Linked DNA regions of Bombyx mori. The protein of the gene in region 1 interacts with the protein of each later gene in a pairwise test. Links are inferred from orthologs where the notes say so. Each region holds a gene or a part of one and is shown in the gene's direction. Other genes may lie near its edges.

The links.
Region 2: the proteins of ras-related and estrogen-regulated growth inhibitor (region 1) and trafficking protein particle complex 6b interact in a two-hybrid assay, tested with the Drosophila melanogaster proteins (2 studies listed by BioGRID). The link is inferred for Bombyx mori from reciprocal best matches to the Drosophila melanogaster genes CG5160 and Trs33.

Annotation. Positions count from the first base shown.
Region 1 is NC_085119.1:9,102,793-9,106,632, forward strand, and holds part of ras-related and estrogen-regulated growth inhibitor, read left to right. Parts: intron 1-2,000; 5' UTR 2,001-2,051; coding exon 2,052-2,178; intron 2,179-3,301; coding exon 3,302-3,438; intron 3,439-3,797; coding exon 3,798-3,840.
Region 2 is NC_085131.1:8,415,542-8,418,642, reverse strand, and holds trafficking protein particle complex 6b, read left to right. Parts: upstream 1-1,490; 5' UTR 1,491-1,586; coding exon 1,587-1,676; intron 1,677-1,775; coding exon 1,776-2,039; intron 2,040-2,144; coding exon 2,145-2,270; 3' UTR 2,271-2,376; downstream 2,377-3,101.

The DNA of each region.
Region 1 (3,840 bases):
AAATAAACAAAATATTACATTTGAATTTGGAATCTGTCATTTTTATATAATTACGGTACTCATTGAGTTTTCTCATTTTGGCGCCAATACATTGTACAATATTTTGCGATATTAAAATGGAGTGGGGTGATAAAGAGAACCGAATCGCTGTGATTGCATTACACAAAGTAGGTATGGAGCCAAATGCAATTTTTAAAACTCTCCATACGCTTGGTATTAGTAAAATGTTTGTGTACCGGGCTATTAATAGGTGCAATGAGACTTCCTCTGTTTGTGACAGAAAAAGATCTGGCCGTCCACGTAGTGCTCGTACGAAAAAGGTGGTCAAAGCAGTAAGGGAAAGAATTCGAAGAAATCCTGTCCGAAAGCAAAAGATTTTATCTCGGGAGATGAAGATAGCAAGCACCTAGAACGATGTTGCGTATTTGAAAAGATGACTTAGGACTTGCAGCCTATAAGACACGTACTGGTCATTTCTTAACTGATAATTTAAAAGAGAATAGGGTGGTAAAATCGAAACAACTACTGAAGCGGTACGCAAAGGGAGGTCATAGAAAATTTTTGTTTACAGATGAGAAAATTTTTACAATTCAGCAACATTTTAACAAATTTGTAGTCCCTAAAACAATTCATACGACTGGCAGTGAAAAATTTTCCCATGGAAAGAGTGCGTGCTTCTATTGATAACTAGCCTCAACATTTAAAGGACTGTATTGCAGCCAATGGAGACCACTTTGAATAAGCTTTTTATATTTAAAATTGTTTTATATTTATGTATTAAACTAACACACTGTAAAAGTAATAAATGTTATTTGCAATAGAATTTTTTTTTTTCCTTTGTCTCAGTATTTATGGCGAGACTAGGTATATGAAAATTGTATCGACGACAAAGCAATTATGGGTCTCGTAATGTATTCATAGCTCCGGTGACAATGTAACAGTACATCGTTTTATGACACTGGAATACAATTAGCAAGGGTCATGTTAGCTAAATGAGTGTGAGAGTACACTAAAAATGTAGGTCGCACGCAACCACGATGGTCATAGGTAAATTAATCTCAAGGGAAGGGTGTTAAATTAAGTTGTTTCATGGTAAGAGTTACACAATCTTATTAAATTGAGAACTTTTTTGAAACCCCTGGGCAATTTTAATTGAGAAATGGTATGGTCCTTTTAATAAGCGAAGTGCTTAATATAAGATTATTGGCATACTTCAAACTCTCGATAGCTTTAAATAGGTACCTGAGAAAATTGGAAAACGAAATAACAACTTTAGAAGAATTCATTTTGGGTATAAAATATTTGTGTAGCTTGTGGTAGGAATAGGGCGTACGCGGACGAGTATGTACCGCTGTATTTGATAATTTTTGTCACGAATCAATTAGTTTGGGTTTGAAGTCCCAATGTTGTTCCAATGATGTTATTGAAATTTCCATATTACTTATATGTAAATTTGGGCAGTGGCAGTCCCGTCACGACGTCTATGAGTTCGGGTAATTATCACTAATAAGTCTTAAGCTAGTTTCTTCATGCCCTAGGGAAGTAAGGAAATAAACACATATCATTTTCCTGCCCTTCTCTCAGTCACCTGGGGTCGGCGCAACATGTTTTCTCCTTCCATACTCCTCTGTCATATACCATATCTTCGCTCACTCCCCTCTTACATATATCGTTTTTCACGCAATCCATCCATTTCTTCTTAGGTCTACCTCTTCCTCTATATCCTTCCATATTCATAGTTATCACTCCTTTCTATTTGTCTCATCACAGGTCCTTACCATCCGAAGGAAATAGACACAATATAATTAAAAAAATATATACCTAAATACTTGGCTGCACTAATTTCCCTTGCACGTAGCACTGTATGGTAGAATTCATGAAAAATTATCAAAACTAAATTTACCTTCAAGTTGAATGTTGTGGATGTAATTTCTGATCGTATTAGTTATTATAAATAGTATGCGATTATGCCTTCGACGTAAAATCATTATTTGTTTCAGAAATATCAAAATAAATCAGGTAATGTTCGACTTAAAAACATAAAAGTTGTAATGGCTTCAGACATGGCTGTCAGTACTAGTACATCACCTAAGAGTTCTCTGGCGAAGCTGGTGCTATATCCTAAACCAAAAGCGTTTAAGATTGCGATATTGGGTCAATCTGGTGTCGGAAAATCAGGTAAGCCACTAAATCATTTAATTACAAAGAATTTATTCTTTAATTACTTGTGTGTACTTATGTACCCATAGTTTGTAGCTATTTGTTACCCATAGTTTGTAGCTGTTTTATAGCCTAATAAAATGTAGAACGTAATCCTCCATCTTCAAACTTGACTGTGGGTAGATCTTGGTGGGGGTTTCTTTAGAGATTTTCTATTGTGCTTTTGTGAAGGAACACCATCGTCTTTGTAATAAATAAATAAACCATAAGCTATAAATAATAAATACAAGAAACGTATAAGCTGCTTCTGAAGTTTTTGCTGTTGATTTTATTATGATATTTGTTTTGTTGATTATAATTGAGGTGTGTTGTTAGTCACCTGTTTTTACAACGAAACCAGTCAAGCTGATAGTTCTGCGTCTTAGGCTGCGACAGTACTTATGGAATATTACGAGATTTTGACCAAAAATCACAAAGAGGGTGACTTAATTCATCGTAATCGGTGCTTTCTATTGATTAAGATGATCAGCGAGCTTATTATTTATCCTTCATCATTCATAATCATTCCTTCTGTGTTCTATACATGCAAAAATTCATATTGGTTTGCCGTAACGCATAAGTCATCAGCATATAACAACACTGCTGCTTTCCTAATAATTCTGGTTTTGTCGAATTTCAAATTTAATTGAAACTGGCAACTATTTCGCTACGTTTTCGTTTTGTTTTCATTGTATAATTATTACAGCATTAATTGACTACATTGTAAAATGGTAACAAAATGATTTAAAGTAAATTGTAACGTAACCTAATTTTAAAACGGTTACCCTAAATCCAGTTTCTTGATGTCGCTTTTTACACGGTTTTCATTCTAGAAAGTTCTGATAGTTTCTTAAGTTTTCACGAGTTGCAGACTTCATCAAGTGATTACACGATGATCTTATTCCACTACTATATTCACCGTAAATGTGCAATTTAATTGTACTGACTACTGCCGCAATTTAAAATCAAAGTTCAAAATAAAGAAATAATATCGTAAGTTTAAGAGATAGTTTCAAAATTGATCACATTTCGATTGAAATAACGAAATTTTCACACGACATGTACGAATTGTCGGATAAATAATTTTTTTATCTGTTTTTAGCTTTGGTTGTAAGATTTATAACACGCCGATTCATCGGGGAATACGACTCGAATTTGGAAAAGATTTACGCTTTCCAAACCGTCATTGATAACGAGATGGTATATTTCGAAATATTGGACTCTGCCGGAGACTCGGGTGTGAGTTCATTAAGCGTTGTTTTTGTCTTTTTGTCATACGTGGTGGTCATTTACATATATTTTTACTGGTGGTAGGACCTCTTGTGAGTCCGCGCGGGTAGGTACCACCGACCTGCCTATTTCTGCCGTGAAGCAGTAATGCGTTTCGGTTTGAAGGGTAGGACAGCCGTTGTAACTATACTGAGATCTTAGAACTTATATCTCAAGATGGGTGGCGCATTTACGTTGTAGATGTCTATGGGCTCCAGTAACCGCTTAACACCAGGTGGGCTGAGAGCTAGTCCACACATATAAGCATTAAAAAAAAACGTATATGTGAGTAGCCCATAGTTCATATATTTTTATTGCATTGTTAGCAGGACGGGGAATATGCGAATTTGGAGAGCAATATCAGATGGGCCG
Region 2 (3,101 bases), on another chromosome or scaffold:
ATACATTAATACCAATAACAACTGAGAGTTACCTTTGACATATATGATGGTTCAAACACTAAATAACGTTTATAAATCACAGTCGTCTTCTATTATTATGAAATGAATAATAGAGAGCAAAGTTTCTAGCACTAAAATAATTACCACCACAGGAAGTTAATTTGAAACGCGATTTTTTTTAACTTAGCAGCTATTATCATGCATATTCAGAGTTGTTTTGTAAACTTTCAACATTCTACTATTAAACTACAAAAAATGGAAGATTTTGTATTGAATATAAAACTAATATTGAGCGTCGAAAATTTTCCCGGTTTTTTCCCGATTCGCCTCTCAATCCCTAATCGCCCTATTTTACGGTATCTGTGAAAGTGCACAAATGTAGGAAAATGAAATAAAGCCACTGGACGTAACTTCTCGGGATCCTCCAAAAAGTTCACTGAAAAAATCTCAGAAGTAAATGACCACCATTTTACTGAGATTATGTTTCATCCCATATCATCGCATCTCATTTCATTTAATTTCATCCCAATTGATAAATGTCTCAAATTAATCATCTTCATTTAATTTCACTCCATATCATTTTTCATAAAAGAATATAAATTAAAATAAGACATGACTAAAAGATCTTAGTTACCAGGTCATAAAAACCCATTATAAAAAAATGTGGTTAAGTTTGGACTTTTTGGCGGGAACGCGAGGAGTGAAGTTGTGTGAATTGTTTTATTTTGTCTATTTAGTGTTTCTTCAGGTTTAAATGTGTGATAACGTTGGTTTATTAACTGTTTAATATCTGAGAAAGTGCGCAAATGTGGGAAAATGAAACAAAGCCGTTGGACGTAACTTCTCGGGATCCTCCAAAAGTCCACTGAAAAAATCTCAGTAAATGACCATCATTTTACTGAGATTATATTTCATCCCATATCATCTCATCTCATCTCATCTCATCTCATTTCATTTAATTTCGTCCCATTTGATCTCAAATTAATCATCTTCATTTCATTTCATTCCATATTATCAGTTTTCATAAAAATAAGAATTTAAATTAAAATAAGATATGACTTAAAAGTCTTAGTTACCAGGTCATAAAGTCCCTTAAAAAAAATCTTTAAAAGCACAAATGTGGGAAAATAAAAAAAAGCCGCTGAACGTAACTTCTCGGGATCCTCTAAAAAGTCCAATGAAAAAGTTTTAGGAAATGGCTACCATTTTACTGAGATTATATTTCATCTCATATCATCGCATCTCGTTTCATTTAATTTCATCCTACTTGATTAATGTCTCAAATTAATCATCTTCATTTAATTTCACTCCATATTATCATTTTTCATAAAATTAAGAATAAAAATTAAAATAAGACATGACTTAAAGGGCTTAGTTACCAGGTCATAAAATCCCTAAAAAAAAGAAACTAAAATTAAAAAAGAATTTACTCAATTTACAATACAAAAGTTCCTTTAGCCCCTTTTTTCTTTCCGTGTGTGTTTTCATTTGTAAAGACAGATTATATTACCTACGAAGCGTTATTATTATAAATAAATATGCAATGAGTAATAAACCTTAATTAAAAATATCTGGACCCCTCAAGAATGGCCGACGACATCATATTTGAATTATTACATTCTGAAATTATAAATTATTCTATTGAAAAATTCAAGAATAACGATAATGGCGAAAAGGTTTGTTTAATCAATATGTATGTAATGTTAAATACTAAATAATCGTTTGAGATTAGGCAATATTATTACAATAAATACATTTTAATACATCGATTTCAGGAAACTGATTTGTCTGTTGTCGAATACATCGGGTTTGCGGCAGGCTATAAAATCATGGAAAGATTAACGAGGGAATGGCCGCGTTTTAAAGATGAATTAGATACTATGAAATTCATATGTACAGATTTTTGGACTTGTATTTACAAAAAACAGATAGATAATCTTCGTACAAACCACCAAGGAGTTTATGTACTTCAAGATAATGCATTCCGTTTTCTAACAAATTTTTCTAATGGTCATCAGTACCTGGAATATGCTCCTAGAGTGAGTAAAAACTATTATTTCTTATATTTCTTTTCATTGACCTTTGGAATTAATAAAATTTACTATCAAAGTATTGTTTCTAAATCAGTGTTTTTACCATTTCAGTATGTTGCTTACACTTGTGGGCTCATTCGAGGTGGATTGGCTAATCTCTGTATTAACAGTATTGTCACAGCAGAAGTTCAGTCTATGCCTTCATGTAAATTTCATATACACGTTCAAAGAACATAATACAAATCTAGATTTGCTTTGTTTACATTGTTTTAATATGTTATAACATGTTATGTTATTGTTTAATGTATTATTTTTTTTTAAATAAAGGAGTAATAATATATTGCATATTCTATTATTTATTATGAACATTTGGGGTCCTGGACATGTCAAGGTCACTAGTGCCATGAGTGTATTAAGCACTTTATTGTTCACTTTGGTTATAAGCCTTAAACAGGATTGTAATAACTATTGTAACTATTAAAAGTATTCTGAAGTTGTCATGGCCTAAAAGATAAGTCGACTCGTGCATTTGTATTGAGTGATGCACTGGAATTCAAATCCTGCATGCCGGTACCAATTTTTCAAATTTTCAAAAGATGTTCACAATTGACTTTCATAGTGAAGGAATAACATTATGTATTAATTAAAATCAGTGTGGGGCAGCTGTTTGTAACTACTGAGACCTTAGAAATCATATCTCAAGGTGGATGGCGGCTTTTACCTTGAGCCTATGGGCTCTGATAACCACTTAAGGTCAGCCGGGCCGTGAGCTTGTCTACCCATCTAAGCAATAAAAAAAAAGTAATTGCTTAATATAAGGACTATTGGATCTCAAAAAACAAGCATAATAAATATCAATAGATTCTTAGATACTTTATAAATCTTGATATCTCAGTTGTAAACCACACAAATTAAATAATTACTAGATAAATAACTAAAGCACCATCAGTTTGATGTATAATTTCTTACCAATTAATTGTGAAAACAATTGTGTAAAATACAAGATGTTCTCACCTTAACCGTACATAATTAAAGGTAAAAAACAAAAGGGTTTTCACTGAGCACTTA